Oreochromis niloticus: one gene and its partners. The protein of the gene in region 1 purifies or fractionates together with the protein of each later gene. This does not show direct contact. Links are inferred from orthologs where the notes say so. Each region holds a gene or a part of one and is shown in the gene's direction. Other genes may lie near its edges.

Evidence for each region.
Region 2: the proteins of ago2 (region 1) and tarbp2 purify together in Homo sapiens (co-immunoprecipitation; 10 studies listed by BioGRID and IntAct, with this or other methods). This does not show direct contact. The link is inferred for Oreochromis niloticus from reciprocal best matches to the Homo sapiens genes AGO2 and TARBP2.
Region 3: the proteins of ago2 (region 1) and ddx20 purify together in Homo sapiens (affinity purification with western blotting; 3 studies listed by BioGRID). This does not show direct contact. The link is inferred for Oreochromis niloticus from reciprocal best matches to the Homo sapiens genes AGO2 and DDX20.

What each region holds. Positions count from the first base shown.
Region 1 is NC_031985.2:24,710,047-24,720,673, forward strand, and holds the start of ago2 (protein argonaute-2), read left to right. Parts: upstream 1-5,379; 5' UTR 5,380-6,290; coding exon 6,291-6,309; intron 6,310-7,486; coding exon 7,487-7,534; intron 7,535-10,627. Other genes in the region: homeobox protein Dlx5a, read right to left, coding at 2,104-2,418, 2,648-2,832, 3,232-3,589.
Region 2 is NC_031970.2:5,770,286-5,781,502, reverse strand, and holds the start of tarbp2 (RISC-loading complex subunit tarbp2), read left to right. Parts: upstream 1-6,280; 5' UTR 6,281-6,443; coding exon 6,444-6,496; intron 6,497-8,002; coding exon 8,003-8,317; intron 8,318-8,465; coding exon 8,466-8,535; intron 8,536-8,638; coding exon 8,639-8,756; intron 8,757-9,217; coding exon 9,218-9,345; intron 9,346-9,580; coding exon 9,581-9,776; intron 9,777-10,705; coding exon 10,706-10,863; 3' UTR 10,864-11,217. UniProt on the Homo sapiens protein: Required for formation of the RNA induced silencing complex (RISC). Component of the RISC loading complex (RLC), also known as the micro-RNA (miRNA) loading complex (miRLC), which is composed of DICER1, AGO2 and TARBP2.
Region 3 is NC_031984.2:17,470,322-17,481,605, forward strand, and holds the start of ddx20 (putative ATP-dependent RNA helicase DDX20), read left to right. Parts: upstream 1-5,897; 5' UTR 5,898-5,917; coding exon 5,918-6,113; intron 6,114-8,667; coding exon 8,668-8,762; intron 8,763-9,086; coding exon 9,087-9,255; intron 9,256-9,351; coding exon 9,352-9,466; intron 9,467-9,637; coding exon 9,638-9,780; intron 9,781-10,209; coding exon 10,210-10,348; intron 10,349-10,461; coding exon 10,462-10,520; intron 10,521-10,922; coding exon 10,923-11,005; intron 11,006-11,115; coding exon 11,116-11,221; intron 11,222-11,284. Other genes in the region: parapinopsina (parapinopsin a), read right to left, coding at 1,967-2,107, 2,226-2,468, 2,560-2,797, 2,881-2,971, 3,747-4,077.

The sequences.
Region 1 (10,627 bases):
AGGTAATTGTCAATGTCCAGATTATGATAATGGAGGCCCTAATCCTGGAGAATAATTATTGTGGAGTGTTACAGTTGAAGCTGTCCAGTAAAGCTAACTGTCATTATTTAGACTCGATTTGCAAAACGGGGGGAAAACTAGCTGAGTGGAAAATGTTCGGTTGGGAAATAAACGGAGGCTCTCGATATAATGGCACCACAAGTGTGTGTGTGTGTGTGTGTGTGTGTGTGTGTGTGTGTGTGTGTGTGTGTGTGTGAGAGAGAGAGAGAGAGAGAGAGGTACAGTAGCTGTGTGTGTGCCTGTGTGTGTATGTGTGTGTTTGTGTGTGTAGGAGACATATAAACCCGCGTGTGCCCGTCGGTTCGCGCGCTAAAGTGTTCTTGATCACGTGCACGTGCCCTGTTAAAATTTTACATTTCTGGAGTGACACACTAGCATCGCAGTGACCGCTCTGTCGTTTCGTTCACAGCAGAAATCGTGCTTAAAGCAGCAAAGCTGCCAGTGCTTTAGATTAGGGAGAGCGTTTCCTATAGCTGCGCGTGTGTGTGCGTGTGTGTGTGTGTGTGTGTGAAGTCTATTCAGTGGGCTGCAATCAGGAAGAGGGTTCTGTGTCAGGTGGAAATGGTAACATGCATGGGTCAGTGTGTGGGTCAGATGCAGCATTGTTTAGTATATGTTGTGTGAGAGAGAGACACAGAGATAAAGTGAGAGAGAGAGGGAAGGGGAGGAATTTTGTGTGCAACATTTGTAAAAACTCACTTATGTTATCTTGGCGCATATGGCGGGGCAAATTCAATTAGATCAATTCTCTTAAGTTTGTCACAGTGGCACGGTTTGTTTAATGGATTTTTTTTTTTAACCCCCACTGGCAGAGCTGGTATTATCGCCTGCTAATGACATGTTCAAACTGTGTAGGATTTTCTTCCTTTTTCTTTTCAGTTCTTGCATTTTTTAAGCAGGAAGGTGGGCTGTGTACGGCGGCCGGGAGTGGCAGAGCTCTGGAGCCGGTCTACCCCCACAGGAATGCGGATTGTCTCAGATCTCCGTGCCGCCCCCCTCGCCTCCTCTCTTGCCATTCAAAGCGACTAATTGTAGGGGACACAAAGAAGCGAGACCGGCTGCAGACCGTCTGCAGGAAGAAGCGGGCATTTCCCTTACAGACTAGCTTAAAGACTCAATCAGGTGCAATAAGAATAAGAATAAAAATACGAAGAAGAATACGGGGACTGACTGAAAAATATGAATTATTACTGTATCATGAGCAAATCCTATCATGTTACCATTTGTCTGATAAAATTAAAAATGGCATTAAGAAGATAAGCTACTGTCGACTTACAATAATAGATGCAATATTATAGAACAAATACATCCAGCTCGATTCAGTAAAATGTGATTGGTGTGGTCGGCTGACGCTTACCATTGCCTGTACCTTTGCTTTTACAGGTATTTATCTTGACAAATGCTTGCTTGATGTAAGCTCAGTCAGAAATTTGCCCTTTAATTTTTCTGATTTTGCATTCATCGCAAATGTAGAATATATTGCCTTCATTCAAATATGTTGGTTTTTTAATTGTAATTTCTTAGAAAAAAATAGACTAAATTTTGTCTGCAAAAATCTTTTTCAGACAAATACCAGTTTTTAGTAAATATAAAACATTTAAAAAAATACGCCGCACACCTAGGCCGTAATTGCACATGAAAACCATTAAGATTTGATGCTGATCGTTCAGCTCAACATACCTCGCAGCCGTGATTTACAACCTTGTGGAAGCAAACAACAAAAAATGTCACCCGAGGCTGTCTGCGAGCCTTTGTCGTGATTTTCAGAGCAAATAACTAAGGGTTTAAAATAACAAGAGACTGCAGGGAGGCAGGGGGGTGGGGTTCAAAGTTCCATTGTCCATTTAAACGTTTAATAGTCTTCCAAAATGCAATAAATTACATGCACACATTTACACATTTTACACGTTTCTTCTATGACTGTCATCAAATACATTGCATATTCCTCTGAAATTTGAACACGAGTCCCATAGAAGGAGGGGGAAATGAAATCAACAATAGGTTTGTTTTGTTTAGTGTAGTTTTCTTTTTCTTTTCTTTTTTTCAATATAACGTCCCCGCTCCAAGAGCCAACGAATGCTGTATTGAGTTAGGGGTCTGCAGGTGGGAAGTCATGGAGCTGCCGGCTGAGGTGTACCATGACCCCGTGTTTTCCAAAAAGTTAGAAGCCGTCGTGTTGATGCTTTGTGGCTGTAGACTGTGCGGCCTGGAGGGACCCTGTGTGTCCCATACGGCCGGGGATTGTGGAGAGTTGCAGGCCATGGGGTCGCTGGAGCTGGGGCTGTGTTCCGGGGGAAGCTCGCCGTTTTTCATGATCTTCTTCATCTTTGATCTTCTGTTTTGGAACCAAATTTTCACCTGCAAGGAGCCCAAAAATCGCATTATTATTATGATTACTTCCGAAATCATCTCAAAAACAAATGGAGCTTAAAGAACGCTCGTTGCGTAAAAACGCACAAACAAAGCCAGAAAACATCGCAAATCATTATTTTATTCTCAACATTTGAAACACTTAAAACAAGATACTTTATTCCAAAGTGAAAGTGATTTGAGAGATCTGAGATGTATTTTTAATCGAAAATCCCACCTGTGTTTGCGTTAGCCCCAGCGAGGCGGCCAGCTCGGCTCTCTCCGGCAGCGCCAGGTACTGTGTGTTCTGAAACCGCCTCTGCAGGGCGGCCAGCTGGAAGCTGGAGTAGATTGTCCGGGGTTTTCTCACTTTCTTCGGCTTGCCATTCACCATCCTCACCTCAGGCTCGCTTATCTCTTTTTCTATTAAAAAACAAAAAGAAAACCGAGTATAAACATGTATCCTTTTCCCCCAAAACCGCATTATCCGAATGTATCTATTACGTGTGTGTCATCGTTCAGATGTATTAAAATAAGAGTAATAACAAAAAAGACATCAATTTTTATGAACCAGATGCATTTCGGTCCAACTAAAAGGAAAGTAAGTGGTTCCTTTAAATGAACTTAAATGAAATAATGTGAAGCATGCATTTGCATTTATTCCTTTAATTACGCATTTATAGACCTTTCGTGCAAATCAGCAGATGACGAAATGGTAAACCTGGATAAAAATTTTTTAAAAGACCCAACCATATATTTATGTTTTCTTCATAACCCTCTAACAATCTGCTTCTATTAAAATATAAAATGTTAGGCCCGTACCTTGTGGACTCGGCTGGGCTTGCACTCTGCTGTAAGTCCCAGCATACTGGTGGTAGGAGGGGGTCGTGTAGGAGCTGTAATCTGTGTAGGATTTTGTCGAGTAATTTCCAGCAGATCCGTTTACACCCGGGTACTGGTACTGATAGGCATTCAGAGGCTTCCCGTAAGAGGTGGAGCTGGGCGAGCAATAGCCGTGAGCGACTCCTCCAGCGGGACTGTAGTAGCCAGAATCCGTGGCGGAGGATTCGGGTAAAGTAGGAGATTCCTGAGACGGATGGTGCATGCTGGAGAGTTGAAAGGAGCTCTCAAAGTCTGCAGGTTTCACACTCGGGATCCTCCGGTCAAAAACTCCGGTCATACTTCGAGAGGGAGCGCGTGGGTTCGTTTTATTTAATCAGCAGAAAAAAAACAAAACAAAACACGAAAGAAAAAAATCAATAATAAAAACCGAGAGCGTCTGTCTCCAGAGCGGTGTGGAAAAAAAAAACTACACTGGCATTGTTGAAAGGCTCTCAGGCCGTCGGGCTCTGGTGAAGACTGCAGCCAGCCCCGCAGCAAAGACTTGGTTAAATCCTAAATCGCGCTCTTACGCACTGCAGGGAGGATCTGGTTCCATTGGCCAAGGCGCACACAGACACAGCTACACCCAATTCACTCCGCCAGCTTTCTTATAAGGGGGGAAGCCACCCGGGCTGCATGTTGGCTGCATTGTTGTGTTTTTATACTATCAATCAATGGCGGCAATTAAAGTGTCGCCAATTCATCAGAAGGATAAATTAGAAGGACAAATCCTATTACCAAAAAGGCCCGTGCTGCAAGAGCCACCGATTATCACGCTTGTCTTTATTAATCCTTATTTACGCGTTTTTATCAGAACAGAATTTACTAGCTGCTCTAGTCACGCATGGAAACATGGAATAAAATTTAATAATCTAATAATAAAACAAAATCGTAAAGACATGAAACTGAGCAGCTTAAACCATTGAGCTCGGGTTTTTTATACATACATATATAAATATATTCTCATTTTCATTTTAAGAGGCACATTGCCTAACCCCCATGGAAATTAAAAAAAAAAAAAAAAAAGCTTTTCTTGCATCAAATGAATGATCCCCAAAATTCTGTACATCATCGGCAAATCAAACACGGTCTGTCTGTGCTGTTTACACGGCTCGGCATCAATAAACGGCTCATTAAATATTAATCCATGTTATTCCCTTCTGAAGCATGCTGCCGAGCACACAGACCAGAGCTCCGGCCATCAACCCACACATTCAGTGGTAAACAGCGCCGACAAGAGGACAAAGCGAGGGGCTGCACGTCGTTCACTTTGGCAAACCCACAACAAAACATAAAATAAATTCACTCAAATTTGACACAACCCAGACGCCCAGGGTTAAAAATATACGCATTAGATTAAATTAACGGGGAATTTGAATCACGTGACACTGGTAACAGCGTAATCTGATAAAACAGCCTGCAACTGTTTCAAAGTTTTGGAATAATACATGGGCGTTTCAGCAGGTGCTGCTTACTGGATGCACACATGCGGAAACATTCTGCATGTTTCATAACTCAAATCTGCAATTCATACAATAAATAATTCTACTTTAAACGGGATCAGCTACGCGAAACCAGGCTCACGGTTAAAGAGACGTGTGCTCAATGTACATTATGGCTATATCTGTGTTCCATCTGGCTTTATCCACCCATTCAAATATTCTGTAAACAACCCAGAAAATCAGCCTCTGTATTCGTATATCTGCTTATAGATCTTGTATCGGTTTAACTTCCACTGAAATATGAACAAATAGCTGGAAAATTTGGAATCTGGATGAGCAAATAATAAATAAACAAATAAAAACATTCAATAGAAACAACCTACCTGTGTGTATCTTCTTCAGCTTTTGTTACTATAGACAATAATTCACTTCTTGAACGTGTACATCTAATTTTATTTCATTCATTCCCCTTAATTAAACTTTAAGTAATTTTTAGCATAAGTAAAATTCAACGTATAATATAAAATCACATGGCTTGATAAATCTTCTGTATGTACTGTCGTTATATTATAATGAACTATAACGTTGGAAGTTTTTGTGGATCCATTACTATGCACTAGCTATAGGTATTATAAAAAAAAACTTTGGTACCCCGGAAATGCTTCCTCCGCCGAAGAAACAAACTACTTGGTATATTACTTTGCTTGTTGACATTTTTAAAAACCCACATTCGTGGCCATATACATATATATGTACGTATTTAAACCAGACCTGTATTTTAGCCAGGTTATAAAAAGTCGGGTTGTTTTTTAAGCCAGGTAAGCGATCTCTGGTGTTTTTTTAAAGATTTGAATTAGCATCACTACTGAGACCGCGCAGCGTGCGTCTGACATCACCGAAAAGCAAGATAGTTCCCCACTTCACATCAATCTAAACGTTAATATTTCCCCTTAAGTCGAAATTACCGTATTTGAAATGTTTGCAACCGTGTAAAATGCTAACTTTGGCTAATAAAATACTAAATCTGATAGGAAACGTGATTTGTCTAAATTGTGTTGTATTATGTGTATGTATGTGTTATATAGTATGTGTTATATTTATTTAAAAAAAGAATCACATTTCGTGGACTGATACGGATACTAGCTTTTTGTCTACATTCATGACTACACTGATGGGATGAATACATATGTCTTGTAAAAAAGAAGGGTAATTAAAAAAAGAAGTCCAAATGTAAATATATACACTACCGAAAGTAAAGTGACCAAAGGCGGAAGGAATGGGAAAGAATCATCTTGAAGCGCGTGGTTCTTTACCCTGCGCTCTCTTTTCTCTCGGCTCCCGTTTTGCGTGTTGGGGGGATGGGGCCGAGCCGAGGATGAGAGACTTCAAATATTTACCACTTGGCTAACTAAATATCTCTTTTTAGAACCGAGTTTCCTTCCTTGCACTTGGACATATAAATACACTTCGACTACGGATGAGTTTTGGTGGAATTCTGCGAAAAACTAAGCGGAGTGTTTGTGCGTCCACGACACACGCTTAAAAAAAGTCGACAAAATGTATTCCTCTGCTGGAGGTAAGTGCTGCGGCTAACGTTAGCATGGGCTACGTGATGCGGCCAAAGAAAACTGACGATAACGAAGCGGCATTTTTCTGTGCTGCATCGATGAAGTGCTTGCTCTGTTCCCGTTTCATCCAACTCGTTACAGTAAAACTCAACAACGGCTTTGACGAGGAACATGTCGTCCCAGTTTTAAGTGTATTAGTACTAGAGGCAAGCTTAGCTAGCGTGCAACAACAAGCTGCCGCTAGCCACGCTAGCTTCAACGGCACCTGGTTTCCCGAACTTGTTTTAGTTAACTCACTGCACTTTCACCAAGTGGGGGTTGGCTGGCATATATTTTCTTAACAAATCACACGAACGTAAACGCATATCATTCATTTTTCTCGAACTGAAGCACTAAACACACTAGTTGAAGCAATATTTCGAGGCCGACCTAATCTCATCACCAGTCTGGGATACGATTAGCCTGACAGTTGAAATCGCCACATTTACATATGTCACATTAATACACCAGCGGTATAAACGCGCTAACGCCACCGGATCGTCTTTTCAGTGTAACACCGGGTTTAAGACACTAAATGATACAGGAGAAGTCTGCTTGATTAAGTTTGACGTTAGGTAGAGATAGTTAAGCGACTGAGCCGCCTGTCGTTAGTCAGACAGACGCTGTGTTTGTGTGTGTGTAGATTTGCATATCGTTGTATTTCATGTGTGCGTTTCTGTTTTTTGTCAGCTGGCTTTTTTAGGCTGAATGAAAGAGAGTACAGGCGACATCAGCACTATGTTGGACAATTTTTTTTCCCCCACTTGCAGTTATTTTAACGAGGATGTGTTGTTCAACCAAAACACGACTCGGTGTGTTGAAGCAGTCTATTTCTAGGGGGAAGGGGTGGCTTCATCAGTTAGATTGCCAGCTGCTCAATACTTTCTGCGTGTCTATTGATAAGACTCCTGTGGAAGTGATAAGAAAGGCCTGCTGGGATGAAGCTAATGTAATAAATGAGCAGCGCTCTCTTACTGCTTACTACATAAACAAATGGTTTTGTTATGTTAAGCAGTAATCTTTGGTCTCTGGGCTGTACTATGTTATTAGGTGTACACATTTATTACTCTTTATTTTGAAATACAGTGTGTATCAGACTGAGCGGATCTTTGAGCATTTATAACATGTTATTTTTGTTCTCTGTAGCTGCTGAGATGCTTGAGGGACCCGGTTCTACTGGGTCAGTAAGCTCTGGTAAGCTTTTCCCATATTCGGGCTTTAACACTTTAAATTGACCCTAGTAGTGGTCCAGTGTAAGTGGCAACATTTTTTTTTCTCACACATCCTTCAAGCATCACAGTATGTACTCATCTGAAAAACAACAGGACCTTCTGATAGTGAAACCATCCAGCAAAAAGCATATAGGTATTTTGATCCTGTGAGAGTCTACAGAAGATGCTTTGCTCTTCAACTAGTCAGCACTAGTACACCTCATTTTGTGCACTTATGTGCAAAGCACTTAACTAAAGGGCACTTATTAAAATCCACCATATATTGCTAGGCTTTATCAAAGGTTTTCTGTTTGAATGAACAGCGCTGGAGCTAAAAGATAATGCACTGAAGGGAATGGAGTGTGTCCTGACTGAAATATCTGAAGCTGCAGATATGGCTGAGCTTGTCCAGCAATAATGAGAGCTGTGTGCATCTCCTACAATAAAGTGCAAAAATGTTAACACTTAAAATCATCTTTCAGGTTATAATATAGTGATTTGGTGTAGATTTGGTACATGTGTTGTTGTTGTTGTTGTTAATGTTAATATAAATAATAATGATAATAATAATAATAATTCAACTATTGTACCAAAATAATTACAAATGTGAGATTTAAATAAGTTTTTCTTGTATATTATTATTGGTGTGGCTACATAGTGTAGTGGTTTACTCATTTGAAAAAAACCCTTTGGGGATGGGTCAGGAAGGGTATCCAGTGTAAAGTAATAAAAAAACCCCCCCATAATTAAAAAAAAAAAAGAAGTGCCAAATCAAACATGTTAAGCTGCCTGCTGTGGTGACTTGTTGTGAATAAGGGTACAGGTGAAAAGTAGCTGTATTATTTATTATTTTTGTTCCAACAAAGAAATCAGAAAATATGCAGAAACATTTTTTCTTAATTTGTTTAAAAAAACTAAATATTAAATTCCCCATAAGTCTTACTGCAGATAAGTTAAAAAAGTCAAACTATGAATGAGAAAAATAACCTGAGTATTTTAATTAAGTTTGAGAAAGAAATTATACAAAATAAGTTGCCTTTTTGTCTTTTTTTCTTTGTAATTTCAGTTACATTGGAAAAATGTAATTGAAGTTCTCTGAAGAATTTATTCAGTGGTGTATTTATACTCTGTATGAGCTCTACAGCCACAAGTGTGCGGTCTGTTGACTAAAACCTGTTCAAAATGACGGCTGCAGCTTGTGCTTTTTCATTTTTCTAGGACAGCCTGAACACATTTGTGAAAAGTCACCCATTATCACCGTTTTAGACGGATGTCAGCCTGTTAGCAGATGAGATACAAATTTACAGTGGCTGATTTTGTGCTCGCTAAATGTTTAAAGCAGAGCCCAACAGATTTCTCAGCCAGTTTTAGCTATTTGCTGACCTTTCAGTATCAGCAATTATAAAATCAGATAAGTTCCAGAACAGGCGAGAGAAACACCCTTTCAAACACGTTCTGAATGTTGATGGTGTATAGCTTGTCCACTAGTGGGCACTCTGCAGCTTCCCTGCAACAGTGTTTGGGTCACCACAAATGAAAGGAGGAGCGGATCTGAGCAGAGTCAGGCAAAGCATAAACTATCAAATAAATAAATATACATACAAATGTTTTGTGTGTTTGAAAGAAGGAAAATATCAGTCAGATATTTGAGTTTTAAATCCCTGAATATTGGCTTGAGTGTTCAAAATCCTACACGAGTCAGGTTCTAGGTCAAAGATGGTGTGATGAAGAGTTAGCGGATGTCAGAAAAATTTATAATTTTGAATTTTGTTTTACTTCTCTGAAACACTGAATGCTGCAGCTGCTAATAATAGCAAAAGCATCAGATATCACCCAGATCCCCTCCACTGTCCCCCCATCCTCAGCCAGTATTCACAAACATACAGTTTTGTAAACATAAATTTTTTTCTGTGCGTTTTGGACTTTCGTCCACATGTAAACGTTGTTTTAGATCACCCAAAGCAGCCTTTGCTGCTTCCAGTGGTGAAGATTGACAGATACTGTGCTTCTGTGTTTGCGTGGTGACGAGGAAAACTGACATTTTGTCTTACATTCTCAAAGGTGCGCACCTCGGTTTTGTTTTTTGACATCAGACTGTGAAGTGTGTTATTGTATGTAGGCTTCTCACTGAAAAAAGAAAATAGGTGAACCAACTTAATTGAATTATTTCAATTGGTAACACCTAATTTAATTAAGTTCTTTGAAATGAAGTTAATACATTAGAGTAACACAACTGATTTATCTAATGTATTAACTTCATTTCAAAGAACTTAATTAAATTAGGTGTTACCAATTGAAATAATTGAATTAAGTTGGTTCTTTTTTCAGTGCTGGTTGGCCAACATTCCTGTACAGTTAGGGCTACATCGTCACATGTTGCTTAGGCATGTTCATCACAGCGCTTGATGTCACTTTGTTATATTTCATGGGGGAAATCCTTGTTTTAAAAAAATCCCATGCACATGTGGACATAGCTTTGGTGTGTACCCATTTGTGAAAGTACTGAAATCAGCTGACATATTGTACTAGACAGAAGAAGTTTTATACAGAACCTTATATGCTGAAAGAATTGAGATGCACACACTTGAATTTGCTGCAGCCCTAGTATAGGAAGAACAGATTGGTTCTGAATTGGAGCTGGGGAGGTCCAAATGCTACGATGCTATTTATCAACAGGTGACACTTTTAGTTTTCCTAGAGTAATTGATAGAAGCGAAGCTACAAACATTCAGAGGATTAATCAGTGTATTTGGATAATTAAGTCAGTGTCCTGGAGCTGCAAAACCATGTGGTGTTGTTTAAATTATAAATTGAGTCATTCTGTTTATTATAATATTAGTATAATATTTTCCAAAGAGCACATATATAATATCCTTGAAATTACACCAGTTAGAGCTGATGGTTAAGTCATATTGTTAGTGCACATTTGTGATGCTCCTGACTTTAAAAACAAAACAAAAAACCTATTTACCCCTACAGATGTATCAGTACATCTTTGAATTTTTGAGGCTTCATCACTTGATTAAAATGATCATACTGTATTGTACACACTGCTATTACTGCTTATGTATGCCTA
Region 2 (11,217 bases), on another chromosome or scaffold:
TTTCCAACGCTAATCTTACAATATTAAAGCTTTTTTTTTCCTAGTCTGTGAAGTTCCTTTAAAGTTTAAAAAGAAGTGCTCCCTCACTGCCCAACGCACCAAATGCACCACTAAATGAGGCCATTTTGTTTATAGGAACTGTGGGAGGGTTGTGGGTGACTCTGTGCCCCTTTAAAAAGATAATATGCTTCCCATTTAATGGCCTCCGGATGACAAATTGCTTCCAGGGGAAAATTAGGTTAAGAAAATTGCATGTGTGACACGTAAAGAAATATCTGCTCAACTTAGGATGTTTGGCATCCATAAGTCAAATATGCGCAGCAGTAGGTGCAGTTGTGATTCTTTGAAGAAAAAAAAAAAACACACACACACATTTGCTTACGGGGTTTGAATGAGGCGCACACTTTGGCTGTTTGTCAATAATCACGTACGCCCCATCCTGATTGTCTTCGCGTGCAGATCACAGCTTTAACAGAATCTATCATGAGGACATATACAGCAAAGCACGGTTTACCCCATTTTTACCACGATGGAAAGTTTCTTTCTTTCAAGACAAGCAGGCCTATATCTCTTGGAGCTGGTTGGAAAACCACTCAGAAAATTGATGGCCCATTATAACCTAATACCGTTACAAATATCTAGAGCACCATTAAAGTGTTCTTTCCTTTTGAAAATGCTTACTATCTTGACGGTATTCTGACTGACACAGAGCCCAAACCATCCTTGTTTACTTTTTTTTAAGTTCAAGCCACTAAATACTTCCTTGGAACATTTAAAGTGAAGGGATTTAAGAGAGACAGTGCAGAGAAGGGGTGGCGGAGGTGTAAAAACCCACAGCTCTCAGGAGAAAAGGTAGAGAAAACAGAGTCGGGGAGAACCGCCACTGAAAGAACAGCAGTAAGTGAGAAAAAGAACGGAGTCCAATAGTAAATGAATCTGGATGCGAATCAACAGAATGAGGAAACTGAAGAAGGAAAAAACAGTCAGGGAGGAAGGAGGGAGAAGAGAGAGAGAGACAGAGAGTCAAAATGCAGAAGGAGAACTGAGCGATTTGGGTTGGAAGTGGGAGCTGGGAGCCAGGGTTGGCAGGGTTTGGTGGAGGAGTGTGGTGGTTCAGAAGTCCTCCAGCGCGAGGCGCCAGTGTGTCCGGCGGGGGCCCTGACCATGAGCTGCCTCACCCCCCCAGAGCCACGGCCACAAACCCCCTCTCCCCTTCACCACCACCACCACCGCCACCCATCCAACCCAAAACCCACTGGCAGGCAGCGCTTCACTGAAGCTGCTGCTGCTGCTGCATGTTTATTTAATATTCTGAAGAAATTGAAATATCTTTGCGGGTTAACACACATACATACACAATTACATATCACTCACTCACACATACATACAAGCGCGCATACATTCACACACATTACCACCACAATATATAAATAAATAAAGTCGAGTAATAACGTTCTCTTGATCTGTGGCCAAGAGCGGAGTCGGAGAAAATCTTTTTCAAATGGTGTTTTCAGAAGCGCGGAGGGAGGAGCGTGAATGTCTGACACTGCGTGTTGCCTGAGCATGTCTCAGTCTGGTTCCCTCAGAGAAAGAGAGAACATTCACAGCAAAAGATACTCCCAGTATGACAGAAACACAGAAAATTAACCAAAGCCGAATGTGTGACTGTGCTGATATATTCAAACGACAGCTTGTGGATCGTGTAGATTCAGTGAAAAAGAAAAAAAAAATCACAGGTTGGGCAATTTAGCCACTCTGAGTGTGTGGTCCATGAATGAGAGCATGTATACGAGGTGTTTGAGAAGTGTTAAATGAACAAATGTGCATGCCAGCTTTTTTTTTCTGTGTGCGTGAGTGAATGTATGCACGCACGCACATCCATAATGAGTGTGCGATCATTACAAAGCAATTCCTTCAGACAGAAATCCCTTAAACAGCCTTGGTTTTGGTCTTCATGCTATCCCCCTTCTGTCTCCTCTCTCCTCAACAGCCACCAACCACTGCTGCTGCCAAAAATAACACAGGAGCGCCACTCGAACCCGCGCCTCACCACAGCACAGCCTGGCCGCAAGAGAAGGATCAAAACACACACAAAAAAGGAAACACATCATATTGTGGAAGGAGGGAAAAAGAGCAGCTCGGGGCTTCAAGATATCTACTGATGATTTTGGCAAGCAAAGAACCACACATACTAATGCACCAGGCCAAGGCAGGGAAAAGGAAAGTGTGTTTGTGGATGTGCGCATACAATTTGGATGAAGTATACTGTAACTGCTAAGAGATGGCATTCATCGCTGATCTCATTCAGTCAAGGATTTAACCACAAGCTCAATAAAAACGCTTACATTATCACATTATAGGTCAATAAATTGGAGCCTTCAGCTGATAAATAAAGTCTCAGAGAATAAGACAAATTAACACTGTAAGTATGAGTAATGAGGAGGAGGGGTGCACTCCGGTCACAGATACTCAGGTCAGTGATAAATCACGCTGCTCGGATTGTAGGTTTAGGAGTTCAAATGGGAGGCAGCTCTACTCATTGTCATGGCCAGTTCACTTTGTGTTGCGTTTGGCAAAGCGGGCTTATCCACACTGACACGCTGATGCCAGTGGACGAAGTTTTCAGAGCTCTGGTTCGACAGTGGCCAGCAGGGCTTTGCAAGCACACCATCATGGGATTAATTGTTGATCCCCGGAATTAAAGATAATTCATGGAAAGGTGGAAAATGCTAATAAAATAAAACATTTTACGAAAGCGCTGCTACATAATTTGGAAAGGAGACTCTGACGTTGTGGGTTCAGATGATTTCTGGGGTCTGCACGGTTCCTTTGGCTATTTATGAAGACACATCTTTCCAAACCAAGCAGGGAAAAAGATCCCAAATTAATAGAGCTGCCTGACTGTAATATCATTGTAAAAACATTTACTTGGGTAAATTATTTTTCATTGTAATCTTTTAAAATAAATTAAAAGTGCTGAAAATGTTTCTTTTGAAAGTTTATAACCTTTTTTATTCCATGGAGAGGTTTAACTCTGAATGTTTTCAGAATAAACACTTTGGGGCATATCTGATTTCAAAAACTTATTTTCAGCTTTAGGGTGGTCAGTCCACTACACGAAAGGAATTTCTCGTGTTGCCACGTTGGTCTGTAGTGGATATGACAGGTGCTGGACATCCCAGGGACCCGACAGGGAGGGCTGTCAGCGGGGGAAATCTATAGCTAACTGTCGCCCTCTTCTGGTTACATTTAGGAACGCCAAATCATACACAGTTCAGCTACCTCATGCAAAACATATAAAACTGTAGAAATGACTGTAAAAAATAAACTATAAGGCGATTTTTTATTTACAGGCTAAAACAAATACCTTAAAAGTTAAGTAACAAATGTAATTCAACGTGATGCAGGACTTCTCTGTTTTCTTACCAATCTGTTTTTAAATCCTCAGTGGCCTGCTGCACTTTTAAGACTTCACTACCGTGAAAGCGATCATTTACCAAAAAATGTGGACCATGTTCACAGTTTGGAGATGATGGCGCTGACAAAAGACAGCAGGCAGAGCTGAAGATGCTGAGATTTGAGCTGGAGATGAAGCTGCCAAGCAGGGGGAAAGATGAAGCCCACTGAGAAGATTCATAGATGCAGCGAGAAAGGACATGTAGTAGGGTGGTGTGACAGAAGACGATGGCTGTGTCCCAATTCAGGGTCTGCACGCTTGAAGTACGCGTTTCAAGTGCGATTACGTCACCGCCACGCGACGACGGCTGTCCCAATTCAAAGTGTACTTCAAATGCATACTCCAAATGCGCCGTCGATTTCCCCAAATATCAAGCGTGGTCCGGTGCACGCTTCCTGGCCCCATATATCCCACAATCCATAGCGCGGCGGTGGGTGTGGATAATTTTGCCGCAAAATACGGCAGAAGGGAGCGGCCGAAGAGTGAACTGTCAAAAGTAAGTACTGAATATGATGTCACTTATTTATGTGCGAATGTTTAAGAACATTAAAACATTACTGTTGGCCACATGTCGGGAAAGTTATGTGACATTAGTGATGTTTGTACTTTCAGCGTAAACTTGGTTTTAAAGCCTCTACTTCTAAATATATATATAGTTGACCTTAATCTTACAGAGAATGTGATGATTTTATGGATAATTAAAGTCAGTCATATATCCACAAACACAACAAGCTGAAAGTCAGTGATGCTGCTCGGTTTGCAGTCCTGAATATGACGGCACAAGCAGGATTCACTGCACTGTTAATGTTAGCTATGTTATATTGCTGCCTCTGTTCGGTGGTGTCGAGCCAAACGGACTTTAACGTGTGTTTGAACGAGCTGACGGTTCACTCGTTAAGCTGAAAGAAAGATGCTTTAATCACAGGAGTCACACATGTGTCCACTGGACCATCTGGGAACTCTTCTTGTTTAGCACTCGTAATAACACAAACACTAAATCCTCCTTCTCTTGTGCTGTTTTGTAGCAGTGTGTACACCTGAGACTGTCACCTGTCTGTCTGTCCTGCACTCTCTCTCTCTGTTTCTTTCTCTCTGATTGTGGAATAAAAGTATGAACATGTATTTATAAGTTACACTTGTGTTTGAATCCTGCAGCTTATCACACATTTGATTTCCATGTGTGACAACTGCAAGTGTCCAGAGTGAGGACAGACTGAGGGACCCACTGCTGCACATCATCTGTGAGGCTTTGCACCCCTGATGATCCACCAGGACAAACTCAGCAGTGTGTGAGGAAGAGGAGGAGGAAGAGCCAGCAGCAGCTGACAGATGGAGAGAATAGACAGACTGTTCCCTGTTTGTGAAGGACTGCTAGGAAAGTTTAACATAACTAATTGTCTGTCCTGAATCAGTCTTATTAGGTAATGTTCAAATAATGTTATCATTCCAGTGTTTTCAGTGTGAGAGAAAGTACTCAGAGCCTTCAAGTTACACAGTATGAAAGGCAGCAACAAGTTTAATATTCAGAAACCTAAAGTATGTATCAGCAGCAGAACGGAGCTAAAAATAAATGTTTGTTTCAGTTCTATGAAGCTTTGAGTATTTTGGATCAGTAGTGCTGCTGTGTTTGTTGCATCATATTGCTGTAATTGTTTATATGCTTTATATATTCTGAGGTAAGTTGATCCATAGTGTTACATCATATTCTATAAGGATGTTATGTGTTTGTAGACTTTCTGCCCAGTTTGACCCATTTAGCAGAAGTCAGCCTGTTTAAGGCTCTGATATCTATTCTGTATGAGTTAACGCAGTTATGACACGGTCTGATTTTCTCACCCAATAAAGGAATATTTCATATATCAGTCTGATCTTCATTCTATCAGAAACGGTTATCACAGCTCGTACATTTGCTTTTTACACATATATATATATAAGCATTGAGCCAAATTTAGTAATGCCAACATATTGAAAGAACAATGTTTGTCTCTTATATATAATACATCTGTATATACACTGTCAGAGATACTTGTCTTTGAGTGAAGATTTAAGGTGATAGGAAATATAAATAACTGCTACTTGCATCTTTGACCCAGAGTTCAAGATCATATATATATATATATATATATATATATATATATATATATATATATATATACAATACATATAATATTGTCCATATTATATTAACATCACCACAGTGAGATGACTTTAGTCTCATGAATAACATTAGCTAATTATTATTTACTAACTAATCTTGAAATGACTGTTCAGTACAGAAATGAAGCCCAACTATCATGTTTTACAGTCCTGTGGGCTCAACTAATCAAAGTGATGTCATGACAAAAATGAATGAACAACAAAACATTTTTTCTCCTTCATTTCTGTCACACAAAGCTGTATGAAACATTTCTCGCGGTTAGTATCATGGTTGCTAGGCAACCTGAACAGCACGACGAAGGCTAGATCGTCCCATTTCACAAGCCTCTCACTTCCGCACTTCCCGTACTTGTAGTACGCACCGTACGTAGTACGCGTAGTGCGCGTACTTCAAGCGTGCATACCCTGAATTGGGACACAGCCGATGCTACAGCAGATGGTTTGTTTGGCGCCCCCTACAGGGAACAGCCGAAAGAAGAATGTCTGACTTTTTGACCTCTCTGATGTGCATAAATACCTGGATTGACGCCTGTTGTATACTTCTGTCTGTACCATCCATAGAAAGAGATGTTTCGTGAAATCTCAGCGTTGAACGTGCTAAAAAAAAACAGAGGTTTCGCAGTGAGCCGCTGACGTCATATCCTCGCGCCAGAGGATTCCGCTGTTGTAGTCTGTCGGGGCGGCAGTGACGGGGGGGCTTCGCTTTATGCCGTCGCCTCATCATCTGTAAGGGGAAACAATAAACAGCGTCTGATGAAAGCAAGTGTCTGTTTTGGTGGGGGGGAACTGCCATCCGAAACCGACCGGCTCTGTCTGCGTGAAATAGGGAATGAACGACGAGACAGCATCGGACAGCTGGAAGAGAAACTCCGGGTGCTCCAGGTAAAGCTAAGCTAACAGCTCCCCCGGTCAGTCCACCACACTCCTCCTCCAGTAACAAACAAGATGAGAAGGCTGGCTTTTAGTAGCGTTTCAGAAACAGAGCTGTAAACACGAACTGCTAGCATTTTTTTTTTCCTGACAGCTGCACGTTGCAAAACTGTGACGCCAGAATGACGGCATCGGGTCGTCTGCAGACTTTGGTGACATCCATGCTCTTTTACTCCGTTTCCACACTGTATTCAGACTCTTCGATAATAAAGTAGCTACACTCACACTGAAAACTTTGTAAGCTTCCCCTTTCCGATAGAAAAGTGACTATTAATCTATAATTAGATCAGTGATGGCTGTATTGATCTACAGCACGTGCATTAAACACGAAATTCAGATCTCCACTAAAGAAAGTTTTTTTGTTGTTGTTGTTGTTGTTTTTTGTCTAAGTCTATCCATGTCTGAGGACCTGAGCTCCATAGAGCTTATCTAGTAGTAACACTGAAGGATACCCTTCATTATTAAAGCACATGTTTTACCTCTCATCCGAGAAGCTACGTCAGTTCTATGACCAAATGCTGGAAAGTCCCAGATTGTAAGCAACTGTTGATCATGTGGCTCATCACATGGGCCAAGGTGTGAAAAAGGGTGTGGGTCATTATCAGCAGAGGTTTCTTGTGAACCCATTGTGAGACCTTGCTTCACCCTATCATGTGAGTTACATGGGAAACTACACTATAGGTGGCAGAGAGTTCAAAGATGATGCTTCACAGTGGACATAGATGGCTTCGTTCACTCCTCTTTCAAACCGTCTGTCTTCTTTTGTCCAAAATGTGAATATTGACATCCTTGAAAGACTGACCTTTGACCTTTAGATGCAGACGTGCAGCCGAGTCTTGTCCTGTCGAGGTGGCTCTTCTGTGTTGTGCCATTTATGAAGTGGCTGTTTGGTTTCTCCAGTGAGAATGAAGCACAACTTTACACAGATGTTTTATGACCATTTTTGCAGCCATTTATTTTTATACAGATCAGACTTTGAAAACATTGCATTTTTCTTCTTTTTACTTAGTTTTTTATTCTACTCTTCTGTCTACATTATTTGACATTTTTGTCAACTTTCAGGTGAATTAAAGTCTCATTTAATTGGTGAATATAAGCATGGATATATGTAACTGTAATTGTTTCTGTAACTCTAATATGTCCAAGTTCTGTTTGAACCTGTGTTTTGTTTTACTTTTGAAGACAGAGAATTCAAAATATATAGAAAAAGTATCAAAAACATAGTTCCCCGTAATATTTAGTGAGATTTTTACTCTCCTAATAGTTTTTGTTTTAATTTTTGAGTGAATAAAAACTAAAATAAATATAGGTATGAAAATGAAAATAAATAATAGATAACAAAGTAAAACTATGAAGTTACACACAATATACTAAACCCTATATACAATTATTTTTCTTGTTTGTATGAAAAGGTGTTTCTGAAGAGTTTGTCTCATGCGAGGTTTTTCTCTTATGTAGTATTGAGCAAATGCTGGCTGTGAATCCCGGAAAGACGCCCATCAGTCTGCTGCAGGAGTATGGAACGCGGATAGGCAAGACCCCAGTGTATGACCTGCTGAAGGCCGAGGGACAGGCCCACCAGCCCAACTTCACGTTCCGCGTCTCCGTCGGAGAGATCAGCTGCACCGGCCAGGGGCCCAGCAAGAAGGCAGCCAAGCACAAAGCAGCTGAGGCTGCTCTGAAGATGCTAAAGGGAGGCCTCGGAGGTCCTGCCGGAGTTGGTATTGGAGTAGACGGGTTTATTGGGGTTGATGTGTCTACTGATGCAGATGGGTCAGTTTTTCTGTTTAATTTTTTTAAACATCCAATAAGCAGGCCAGCCTGAATGTTAAGAAGAGCATTTCAACACTTAACAAAAGTAAGATAGAGGTTTGTGTGGTTTCATTGTTACCTTTTTGTTTTTTTCTCAACATCTGTGTAGTGCCCAGTCAGAGATGAAGACCACAGGCACTTCACAGCAGTCTGAATGCAACCCTGTAGGGGCTCTGCAGGTAAATAAACGCAGACAGCTACCAAGGTTTCATTTTGCTGTCATTATTTCTGCGGCTTATAAATTTTCCAACTTTTGGTTTCTTTTTTACTTTGTTCTGCCAGGAGCTGGTGGTGCAGAAAGGATGGCGTTTGCCAGAGTACACAGTCACTCAAGAGTCTGGTCCAGCACATCGCAAAGAGTTCACCATGACCTGCAGAGTGGAGAGATTTGTAGAAATCGGTACGTGGCTTTGTTTCAATCTCTCAGCCTGCGTGCGCGTGTGTGTGTACCATGTTTACATATCTTTGTGGGGACAAAATGCCTGATCCACGAGTTTGCGGGCATTTTTGAGACTCAAAATGTGGTTTTAGTGTCAGGGTTACAGTTTGGTTAGTTGGGGTTAGGCATTCATTTTTAATGGTTAAGGTAAGCTGCTAGGAAAAGCATGATGTCAATTAGATGTCCCCACAAAGACATGAAAAACACAATTTTGTGTGTGGGTGGTGTGTGTTCACTAATTAAATATTTTTGATAGAAAACAGCTTAATAAAACTGAGCAAAATCATATATCTATTGTTACGCCTTTCACACTGGTCAACCAGTTTGTGACTTTCCTTGACTTACTCTCTTAAAGCATGAAAAACTTCAGAGATATCAAGCACATCCTTTGGTTTCTGATGCAATCTCCTCTTCCTCACCAGGAAGCGGTACATCTAAGAAGCTAGCCAAGAGAAACGCAGCAGCTAAGATGTTGTCACGCATACATGATGTCCCCGTAGATATGAGGACCAGCAATGATGCTGATGCAGAAGATGATACATTTACTATGGTGGGAATCAAACACTGCTACACTAACTGACAAATGTTTATTAAGCATCATTAGAGGAATTAGAGTTTACTTCACTTCTACGTAGTAACAAAATATTTTTTTAAATTTTATTTTTCTGTTTTTTCTGAAGCATTATTAATTTAGCATAATCTCTGATTCATATGCCCTGTTGTTACTCTTCTATCTCTGGGTTATGGCACATAATGACATTGTCCATTAATTCCTGCATGCACAGAACATGGGCAGCAGAGCGGAGTCGGGTAAAAGTAAAGGCTTCAGCTGCACGTGGGATTCTCTGCGCAACTCTGCCGGTGAGAAGATCCTCCAACTCCGCAGCCACCCTCTGGGCATGCCCTCTGATTCCAACTTCTGCTCTTTGCTCAGTGAACTGTCTCTGGAGCAGCGCTTTGATGTCAGCTACCTGGACCTAGGTGAGTTCACAGAGCGTACCTGTCACACTTCTCTCTTGCGTTCTTGCATTCTCATTAAAAGGAGGATGGTATTCAAAGCGTAAAGAGCCACTGCTGATGGGCCTGATGACAGGAAGAGCTGCATTTTTGTTAGTATCTGTTAAATATGGTAATTCAGTGGAGCTTTCACTGTGCTGCTTAAGATCAAACTTGTTAGGTTGTGAAAGCCTCTTACTGCTTTCACATCTGGTTTGCACCATCTGCACACACTATTTGCAGAGGATAAAGGGTAGATTTTGATGTCATGCCAAGAAACAAAAGGCAAGCTGTGTTGTGGTCGTTATTACTGTCACCAGATATTGAGGAAGTAGCCTGCAGCTGCTTGTTATCTTGGTTTTATGTAGAACCATTTTTTTAATGTGGACAGCTCTTCACCAAAACAACAGAGTTTAACGCAGCAGCTTTACATTTATGATTCGAATTATTATTGTTTGTTATCTCTGCTCGATTTATTTGTGTAATTAGCACACATTCTTTTTTTTTCTTTTTTTGTAGTATTAAAACCTGTCACGGCCGTTATTTTGTCCTCTACAAACTATATGATCTATGAAATCGTGACAAAAGTGTTAGTTTTTCTTAATATATGCAGTAGATGAGGCTAGTTATTACTATATTCTAATAGTTGCAGAGGACAGAGTGAAACTATATTCTAATACATGTTTTAGTTACAGTAGTTTTGATCATATTATTAATGTGCCTATATAAAATAACGGTACATTGAATCAGATGTACAGTATTAATAACAATGTTAGCTGTCAAATCTTTCATCCTGAAGTACACCATACATATGTTATGATATTATTTAAAAAGTAGCAGTAATCTCGTAAATATCTATTTTATAATAAAAATGAAGCTCTCGTGATTTTGTATTTTGTTCCTTCTGTTCTCAGAGGAGCGCAGTCTCAGCGGCCTGTGTCAGTGTCTAGTGGAGCTCTCCACGCAGCCAATCACCGTGTGTCACGGCTTCGCCCCAAACACAGACGGTGCCCGAGCCAACGCAGCCCACAATGCACTGCAGTACCTCAAAATCATGGCAGGAGGGAAATGACGAGCGTGTCAGCCCCCCCTCCCCCTCCCTCACAGACTTGAACTCACCACTACAAAATGCCATCATAAATTTCTACTTTGGATGACGGAGGCACTTTTGTGATGAACTCAAATAACATGAATTACCTCAAATTTAGAAATGAAGACTCTTTATGCCCCAAGATTTTTTTAAAAGTCCTATTGATGATGCCAATGAAGATTTAGTTGCCCCCCAAAAAATCACTTGACATTTACAATATTTATCACTAATTATGTATTTTTACTTTTTTTATATCACCCTATTTGTTTTCATCTGAATTTATAAATGGTGCTATCGTGGTAAACTCAACGTTGCAAATAACTCGAGATAAAATTC
Region 3 (11,284 bases), on another chromosome or scaffold:
AGCTATTAACATTCTGGCTTTTTTTTTGGCTTTTCTTCAGTCGTAGCAATATTTCTGTAATCAATAAAAAGCCATGGTACTAGGATGGGTATGATTGCATTTGTGTTTATTTAGGAAGGCGTGAGAGACTGTGAATGATCAAACTGTGACATAACTTATCACAGGTTTAGTTGTTTTCTGTTTTACATGCTGGATCCAAAAGGCTGAAATGAAGTATCATGTTGCAAAATGAGTATAAGACACTGATTATTTTGATTGATTTTATTTTATGTTTTTCAATCAATGAAAGCCATAAAGGTTATATAGAAGGACAGACCTTAAGAAGCAAAGAGGATGTGTACACCTAATAAAAAATTAAAAATCATGTAATTACTTTTTTCTTGTGTTAAATCTTTTGAATATACGTTACTATCAAGTGTTCTTTACTATTACTATCACAGGGTTTTAGCAGTTTGCTGCAAAACATAAATTTCTAGTTTAGCTTCTGCCTACATTTCTTCATTGTGAAAATTAAGGTCCACTTTGTTAGGTACACCTATTTAACTGCTAGTTAGTGCAGCTATCTAATCAGCCAATCACATAGCGGCGTCTCAATGCAATTATTCACGTAGACATGATCAAGACGACCTGTTGATTGTAGCATGAAGCGCCAGATGGGCTAGTCTGAGTAATTCAGAAGCTGCTGATATTTTTGCACATAACCATCTCTAGGGTCGACAGAGAGTGGTCCAAATAAAGAGAGTGAGCAGCAGTTCTCTGGGAGAAAATACCTTGTTGATGCCAGATGTAGGAGGAGAATGGACAGGCCGCTTCAAACTGGCAACAGTAACTTAAATAACTGATTGTTCTGTCAGCTAAGAACAAGCAACAGTACCTCAGATACCAAGGCATGCTGAAGAGCGTCTCTGAATGCACAAACCACATTGAACGTTGAAGCAGATTGGCTACAGCAGCAGAAGACCACCAAAAGTGGACAAATAAAGACTGGAAAAACTTGGTCTGGTTTGATGAGTCTCGATTTCTGCTGCAGGATTCAGGTGTCAGGGTCAGAAACAACATGTAAACCTTGATTCATCCTGCCTTGTATCAACAGCTGATGTGTATAGTGGCAGTGTAACTGCGAGGGGGATATTTTCTTGGCACATTTGGGGCCTGAGTGTGTTCATCTTCTGATGACTGCTGACACCATGTCACAAAGCTCAGATCATATTAAACTGGTTTCTTGAACATGACAAGTTCACTGTACTCAGACGGTTTCAATCTAACAGAGAAACTGAGATGAGAGATAATGGGAGATTCACATTATGGATGTACAGCTGTCAAATCTGCAGTAACTGTGTGATATTGTCATTTCAATATGGACCAAAATCTCTGAGAAATGTTTCCTCTATGCTGAATCTATGCCACAAAAAAATCAAACCAGATCTGAAAGCAAAAGAGGCGTACCTAAAAAGTGTGCCAGTGTTTCAGCCAGGTGAGATAATTCAGCTCCTGACTGACAGACTGAAGTAAACAGAGGCTATTTTGCTCACATATGTGAGGTTTTATCTTTTAAATAATGTCTGCAAACAAACTGTGAGTTGTGCAGTCTCAATAGTTCTTGATTAATGTAACTGTATTTTTATTCTTTAAAAGAGATAAAAAGCAATGACACCATCTACAATATCAATGACAGAGGACAAGAAAGATGTTGTGTTGTTGTCTGAATACATAAAAGGAAAAGAAGCCTGCCTGAACAGGGAAATCTTTTTTTTTTTTATTACTGCTGCTTTTATTACTGTTATGTTTTATGCCTTAATACATAGATTTGTGCAACCTTCTTCCTCATTGCATCATTTTTACTCTCTGATATTTTGTTTACGTTTGTGAAAACCATCTTGCAGTACATTGCAGAAGTTGTCTTGACTTTGTTCTGATAATCAGGATGCGCCTCTGGAGTGATAATAATAATAATTTCTACACATTTCTATTCCAAAGATTTTTTAGGCACAATTTTCTTGGGGGTCTTGATTACAGACGCAACAGTGGTCTCGTTCTCAGATGTTTGCGGCTCGGAGGACCAGGGGTTCCATCCACACAGAACCGCAGCAACAGTGTAGCCTCGAAACTGGAAACACACACACAAACACAGGATCATGGTTGGTCATGAACATACAGCATGAGCCTGAATCCCTCTTTGTGTTTGTTTGTATGTGTGAATTTCAGTGTACTTTAAACCAGCTTACCTGTCTGTTCATGAAAATGTATATGATGGGGTTGTAGACAGTGCTGCTTTTTGCAAAGTACACAGGAATGGTAGCGATGACAGGGTCGACATATAGACTGGAGTCTATCATGACAGCAAGTGCAAGTGCGGCATATGGCAGCCAGGTGACTAGGAAGGCCAGCACCATCACCACTACCATGCGCGCCACCTGCACCTCTACACGACTTGTGCTTCCTGTTTCAGATACCTGCAGCTTGGTCACCTAGGAAAAACATTCAAGGGCAAAGGACTCCATTATGTTTTCAATACAATCAACAAAAATATAAGGTGTGCGCAGCCTCTTTGTTGCTCACCTGGCGGAGAGTCCATAAAAGCCGCGAGTAAGAAACCATGACGACAGAAAAGGGCAAGGCAAAGCAAAGGAAGAAGAATATTATCATGTAGGACATGTCCCCAACATCACGGCTATGCCATTTAGGAGCACAGGAGGTTTTGACCCCCTCCAACTCAAAAGTTCCCCACCCAAACAGAGGTGGAGTGCTCCACACAAATGACCACACCCAGGACAGTACCACTCCAGCAACTGCATGCCTGAGGACAACAGAGATGGTGTCTGACATGCTTGGTACAACAAGGAACATTCCCAAGTGAGACCTTGATGGTCACTACTGTACCTGGTCTGGAAGAGGACCGCACCCATGGGATAACACACCACTACGTAACGTTCAACAGAAATGACTGCAACTGTGCACAGACTCGCTATACCTGCAATAAAGAGAAAGTAATTCATGACTTTTGCGTTCTAAGTGTTGCATTTGTGCACACTGTTGAGTGCTACATTTCAAGGAAGAAATGCTAATCTTATTTTAATGACATTAACTATAAATATATGGACTATAGTACATAATGTAACTTCAAACAAAAACAGTTCCTTCAAAATATCTTAAATAATTCACTTTAAGTAACTTTTTTAAGCTCAAAAAGTTCAAAAGCGGTCATTAGAAAATGAAAGTTTCCACAGGACTGCGTGCATTTGAAATACTAAGCAAGGTCTGGACTTTGACCAGGTCACAACAGCACCTTGACTCTTTTCTTTTTTCAGCCATTCTGTTGTAGATTTGCTGCTGTGCTTGGGATCATTTATCTGTGGCATGACCACATTGTGGCCAAGCTTTAACTGTCAGACTGACATTTGTCTCAACAATACTTTGGTATACAGCTGCAAAACAAACACAAATCATCACCTCTGAACCACCGTGCTTAACAGCTGGTATGAGGTGTTTGTGCCGATGTGCTGTATTTGGTTTTCACCTCTCTGCAATAGATCCAGACATCTCAAATATAGTCTTATCTGTCCAAAGGACACTGTTCCAGATCTTGTGTTTTTTTGATTGTTTATTCAGATACAGCTTTGCAAATCTGACATAATATAATTAAATTCTCTTCAGATGCTTTTACTTGAGGTACTTTTACTTGTACTAGAATACCTTATTGTATTTCTTCTTTTATTTATGTGAGGAAAAAGAAAATGTAGACTCACCGAAAAAGGAAACAGCAAAGGCTTCTAACACACAGCCCACACGTCCCAGGTTGAAGTATCCCATGGCGCTGGTCACTGTGGTGGGCAGGCCTCCAAACACAGCACAGCCCAGGTCACAAACAGCTAGGTTAACCAGGGCATAGCTGAGTGGCTGCCTTAGCTGTCTGTGCTTCACCGTCACCACAATCACCACGACATTGAGGATGATCCCTGCCACAGAGAACACACCCATGATAACGGCCAGAATTGTGTAACCAGTCCGGGACAAGAGCTCCGTGTTGGCTGAGCTGTTAGATGATGAAGAGTTTCTGTGGAAGGCAGCACTCTCCATTTTGCTCTGTGAAGATCAGGAGAAGAATCTGGTGACAGTATGAAAAACCTCAGTGATGCCTGGTAAAAAACAACAAACAAAAAAGTGTCAGATCCCACACATCTAACTCTAAAATGGCCACATTGTCAGCAAGGCAAATAAAATAGCAAGTTCAGGTATGTGTTTAGCATTTTTTTTAATCATTTGATAAATAATGTAGCAATAAGAACAACTACAAAACTGTTCAACAGATACTGCGTGCTTGATATTCTGAGAGCGAAGCGAGGCCCTCTAAATAAGCCCAGTAAGAGGAGAGGAGGCCGTAGATGACTTGCAATTCTCAGAAAACAAAATCCGTCGAGCCGGATTGTGGAGAGAATAATTCTGTCTGATAGCCTCTAAGACTGCACTTTCCATGATTGCTCAATTTACAGCTGCTCGTGAGTAATGATGCAAAACGTTCATACAGGATCGACCGATATGTCTACAGAATTCCTGCTGGTTTGTCACACATTTTGTAGCCAATAATGGAATAAACTGGTAATTTATGGATACCTGTCCTTGCCTTTTTATGTACTCTCATTAAAAACTAATGAGACGTTAGCCTGATTGAGTCACTTAATGACACAAACTGGTTAACTCGTGGCTTATTTGAGAATGAGCTCAGTGTCAGTGTCTCTGTTTATAATCATCCTTAATACCTACACAACTCCTAATGAATGAATGAATGAATCCATAAAGCTAAAAAAGAAAAGGTGCAATAACAGAAAAAAATGACATTGTGATTTGTTGAATTAAATTCACCTTGAAGATCTCATTTACATTTTCTGCCCAACAGATCTATGGATCCATCCATAAGCACTTTACTAATCACTAATATATTGCTCCCCAAAACTATATGTGATTACATTTGCAATTTCTTGGCATGCTGAAAAAACTCAATGAATAATTCCTCTTTTTTAAGAGTTAAGACACTAACTAACATTGGCTGTAACTAATAACCTCATCAAAAGACAGTTTCCTGCACTGAGCTGTTAAAGGCCATCAATAAGAACTTTTGGGTTATTGACTTATTGCCATAAATAAATACTCCTGTACTGTTAATGCAAAGAAATCTCAACATGTAATTCTCCAACCAGTGGCAATCCATTATTTCCATTGTCTGAGACCGAACTCTATCCTCCAAGAAGATAATGCTCAAACTCACAGAATGAGGTTTATCAGAAACTATCTTCAGAATTGAAGAGTGAGGATGATAGAATGGCCTGCCTGCAGTCCTGACATCAACCCCATCGAACACTTGTGGTGTCAGCTTGGGTGTGCTGTTTGTGCCAGAGTCACCAACACTGACACATTGGCTGACTTGCAACAAATGCTGCTTAAAGAATGGGATACCATCCCACAGCAGTGCGTGACCAAGCTGGTGACCAGCATGAGGAGGAGGTACCAGATGGTTCTTCCACATGCTACCAAATGAATAAACCATTAAATTGCTAATATGCATCTTCAAACTTCAAAAATACAGTCCCATAAACTGCACCAAACAAGATTCAATAGCAGAATACTTTGTTTGGCATTGGGAGAGAAGATTTTGCAAGTTTTTCATGGACACAGCCCACATAATCAACTCTGCTGCTCAGCCCACAAATGCATTTTCCTTAAAAATTTAGCACCACTTAGGGGGAAATAAACAGGGTTTCCAACCATATAAGATTTATTGCCAAAAAGTGTGTAATCGACCAATCACACCCAGATGATTGCGCAGAGAAATTAATTCCCCTCCGCATCGCTAGAGGGCGCTAAAGCGCAGCTGTGTCTCTGCTTTTTAACCGGGTCACCGGCAGTAAACAGTACAGCAAACATGGCTACCTCCGTCAGGAAAGCAGCTCACGATATCGAAGCGCGAAAGCGGACCGAAGACGTGATTCTGTCGGAGGGGATCGACTTCGGTTCCTTGCTGCTGTCTCAGCCCGTGTTGGACGGACTGTCCGCCGCGGGATTTCAGAAGCCGTCTCCGATCCAGCTCAAGGCGATCCCGCTCGGCCGCTGCGGACTCGGTGGGTGCAAAACAAAACTGCGGGAGGGTTCACATGTGTGTGTGTTGGGGGTAGGAAAAATAAAGTTTTCAGTGTATAAAACTTATAATTGATTTTATAAAAAGAGCAACAAAATACCTTATGTATGCACGTGAAATCAAATCACTAACTTACATTAGTGCATTACATACATCAGGGATCAGAATCTGTTATCTATCCATCATATATAATTTTGCATGTCTGCTCAGATACATGACTGGCACTATAGTTAAAAATGATTATTGTTATTATTATTATCATCATCATCATCATTATTTTATGTTATTTTTTTTTTACAACTTTTTAAAGTATTTTAATTTAAATTTTTTGTTGCAAAGCATATTGGTCATACATATTTAGACGCAAATGATTAATGTGATGTGATATATTATGCCTCAAATCTATCTATCCATTCATTATCGTCCGCTTATGCATCTCCTCATAAATATGAAATGAAAAACTATTGTTATAATTATTATTACTGCAATCAAAAAACACACTTATGGGCAAATTTATGGACCTAAAACTTGGGTGGCTGTGGTTAATCAGGTAGAGCATCTACTAACTGGGAGGTTGGCGGTTCGATTCCCAGCTCCTCTAGGCTACATGTGAAGTGTCTTTGGGTGAAACGCTGAACCCAGACTTGCTTCACGCTTGACTGGTAAATCCAAATCTTTGCTTCCCGGTTCAGCTAACTCTTCATCTCACTGGTCCAGTAAAGTCGGCACATTACTTCGATACAGCACCAATCTGCCTGCCTATTTCCGTTTTATCCAGACACATGAACACCTTTGTCGGGAGGTAATATTATCTGGAAATAGAAACACATGAGAGCTAAAAGATAAAAGGTAGTTTATCTAATTTGACTTCCTCCCATGAGCTACCAGCAGCATCTCCTTACAACGTGCTCCTCAGAAAGACTTTAGCTTTCCTTCATGTAGGACAACTCATAACTGTCCCTGAGGTAAATTAATAAAAATACTTCCCTGTCCTTTTGGCCACTAGTGCAAAACTGACATTTGGACTTATTAAAAGAACATAATGTAAAAAGGTTATTACATGTGATATCATGGCAGTAGAGACAAAGCATCGTGTATCTGATCTAAAAATCTGTTGGTACAATAGCTGGGTGTGTTAGAGTTAGGTCTGTTAGTAAGTGGACACTGATGCTTTTTTGTGAATTTTAAATCAAGTTGTCAAAATGTATTTGAAGGGAAAACTTTCAGCTTTAATTCAGAGGTTTGACAAAAGTATGAACAGTAAGACCCCAGACCCTAAAGAGTTGCATCAACTGTTCAGGAAGAATTTCCACTTTCTTTGCCCTCTGAAACTCTCGGGTTGCTTCTGCAGGATGCTCTGAGTCATTTTCCATTTGCATAGTTTTGCAGCACTTGGATGAATCTGAATTCCCCTTTACACTTCAAGGTACATCCTGCTACCAGCAATCACATCATCAATAAACACTCAAGGCCCAGATTCACAGGCAGCCATGCATCCCTGTGATTTCACAGTCATAGTTCGTAACATTAACTCCACTCTCTTTGATAGATGGTGCCTCTGATTCCCGAACACTTAATGCAATACTTTTGTTGAACCCCTTGAATTAAGCTGAAAGTCACATCTTCATCAAATCCACTGTGATGTGTACACAGGGAAAAAGAATATAAACTTTATGGACCTAACTGCAGAGATCTTCTATATTATTAGTTTAGAAAAGAGCTTAATATGGCCCCGAGACTTCAGCTGTAATCCAAATATTTTTTTACTCTGAATAATTCAATCATGTATTACATTTTAATGTAGTTTCTTAAAACATTTCTTTATACAATATCAAATTACATGTTTTCAGCTTCTATGTCAATAATATATATTTCATCTGTGCAATATTCTGGATATTTATAATTGAGCTATATATTAGAGTTTCTTCTATTTTGTGAACTTTGTTATATTATCGTATAATTTCATTTAGTTAAGTCTGTTACTGTTGTTATTGTCTATCTACTGTAACTGTACTACACTCAGACTGTACACTGACTTTTGTTGTAAACTTTCCTCAAAGCCATGGTCAAATGAGAACAAATCTTTTTGTTTTAAAGGATATTAAAAAGTATTTTATTTTGAAAAGCTCGAAACAACTACATTAGTACTACTAAAGTACTTCTTTAGTCCTTCTTTTGACTATCATAGATATCACAACTGTTCATCGTGATTCTGAATCACTCTTTGGGATCAAATGTGTTTATTGCCTTTAAACATTTTACTGCCTTTACGAGGTACAAATTCAGAATAGTTGCTTTCCACCTGGAGGTTGCCTGTGTGTTGGAAAAGCTCTCGGCTGCAGCGGTGATGCAGAATGTGCTTAATTTCATTGTACTTGAGGTAAACACTTGTTAATTTAAACCATGGTAGGAGACAATTGATTTGATGCTGAGGATTAGGCAGCAATACTTCACCCAGTCATGGTAATTAACTGCTGATGCCAAAACTGTCATTTGCCAGCCCTGTTGTGCATCGCTCACTGAGTCTCTCCTTTTAGATTTGATTGTACAGGCCAAGTCTGGGACAGGAAAGACATGCGTGTTCTGCACCATCGCCCTGGACTCTCTGGTCCTGGAGAATCCTTCAACCCAGGTCAGTATAATATTTGATTATGAGGATATGACCTACGTTTGCACTCGGACGGTTAAAGTAAAACATCATCAGAAGAGGGAAAGGGGAAGTTTTATTATTTAATCATTTCATGACCAGCAGATGGCCTTCTGCTGAGTTTAAGCTGCTTAGTGTCAAACGCATGAATGAAAGGGAAGAATGATTGATAAAGATGAGCTACACCTGGTCTTGTAGAACAAATGTAATCTTATTAGCTCTGGGGTCTTACTGTTCATCCTTAATCTTCTCCCAATCGAGTATAAGCGTTTTTGTTTTTTTCATTTTTGACACTTTTCCCTCCTGCAGGTTCTTGTGCTGGCTCCAACACGTGAGATAGCGGTGCAGATCCACTCGGTGGTCATGGCCATAGGCTGTGCCATGGAGGGCCTGGAGTGCCATGTTTTCATTGGCGGCAGGCCTGTGAGTCAGGACAAAACCCACCTGAAGAAGTGTCATGTAGCCGTGGGCTCACCTGGTAGGAAGCCGGGATAGTAGTCGGCGGTGCCACGTCACGTAATCGCCACGCCGCTGTTGTTTTTGTTCGGTAACAGTGTTCCGGTTGTGTGCTCAGGTCGCATCAAGCAGCTTATCGAGTTGGGCATGTTGTCAACGGCCAGCATCAGACTGTTTGTTCTGGATGAGGCAGACAAGCTGCTGGAGGAGGGCAGCTTCCAGGAACAGATAAAGTATGAGGATACAATTTCTGTGATTACACTCCTATTAAATGAGCAGCAGGCCGCTGTAGCGAGCAGAGTGTTTTTCAAGCACTACATTTAGACTGAAGCCGTTTATATATCGTAACCACATTTACAAACCAACCTAACCTAAAGTTCACCCATCATCCTGGTCCTCTTTAGCTGGATCTTCTCCTCGCTGCCCGTGAACAAACAGATGCTCGCACTCTCCGCCACCTACCCAGAATCCCTTGCTCAGCACCTCACCCGCTACATGAGAGAGCCCACCTTTGTACGGCTAAATCCAAGTGACATGGGCCTGAAAGGTAAGACTCACTTTAATAGGTGGAAAAAAGAAAAGAGAAAGATTCCTGAGTTTTGGCCTCTCGACATTTTTTTAATGTATTTAAATTGCTGTCATAGCAACAGAGACTCTGCATAATAAGACTACATGGATGAGATAACCAAGTCTGAAAACTGACATGTTTGATGGGATTATTTCCTGACAGAAAATTCTTGGGGGGAGTAATATGATTGACAGTAACAAGGCTAAGTTAAGGCACTCTTAAAAACACTCTTCTCTTCCACAGGATCCTATTTTTAGCTCTGTGCTTATTTTGAGTGAATGTCAGAACACGAGAATTTTAATTCGCACACATCACTGGCAGAGCACGTCCCGCTCGAAGGACCAAAGTTGTTAGGTCAGGTTGAATTAATGACAGCATGTATGTTGTCCTTGTGTCGCCCCCTGTCAGGTCTGAAGCAGTATTACAAGCTGGTTCAGTCCCATCCGTTACCTCACAAGGTTTTTGAGGAGAAGGTGCAGTACTTGCTAGAGCTGTTCAGTAAAATCCCCTTCAATCAAGCACTGGTGTTTTCCAACCTACACACACGGTATGTGATGCTGATTGTATTTATTACCAAGAAAAAGTAATTTTTTTACACTTGTTTTATATAGAATGCATAAAAGCTTTCTGAAATTCTAATGCGATGAATTGCTACCACAGGGCTCAGCACCTGGCAGACATCCTGTCCTCCAAAGGTCTGCCTGCTGTTTGCATCTCTGGTAAGACTGCTTTATGTGATGTATAGTAATGTTAGGATGGGTCAATAAAAATGGTAAAACTGAAAACTCTGGTAATTGATTTCTATTTGAATTGTTGATTTGTTAATGTTCTTTCATTTTAAATTTGAGGCATTTCTATACTGGTACACCAGCTGCTTTTGAATTTTAGAGATTGAAATTCATTCATTTGTTTCTTGAATATCTTGTACGTGTGACTATTTCTTTGGCCAGGTGGTTTATGATTTGCAGTGTTGCCTGGCAACATTTTGCATTTCAATAGTGCACATATTTAAAATGACCTTCATACAGTGTTGTGAATGTGTGTATTTTTAATGCTTCCATGCCAGCGACTTTCAGTTGACGTTATCAGATTTAATGAGGTGTCGTGTCTGGCCTCTGCAGGTGGTCTGAGTCAGGACCAGAGGCTGGAGGCAATGTCAAAACTGAAGCATTACCAGTGCAGGGTGCTCATCTCCACTGATCTGGTGAGATGCCAAAACCTTCCATCTTTGCACACGTCTACGTGAATTTTTCAAAATCATTTTTCTGTTAGCCTTATAACGTTATGAGTAATCTTTGTGTTTCACCACTTCAGACTTCAAGAGGTATAGATGCAGAGAAGGTGAACTTGGTGATAAACCTGGATGTGCCGCAGGATTGGGAAACTTACATGCACAGAATTGGACGAGCTGGACGTTTTGGTTAGTCTGCAGCGCCGCTTCAGAGGCAGCGAGAGCAAGCATTGTTTGACATTCAGCATTTTC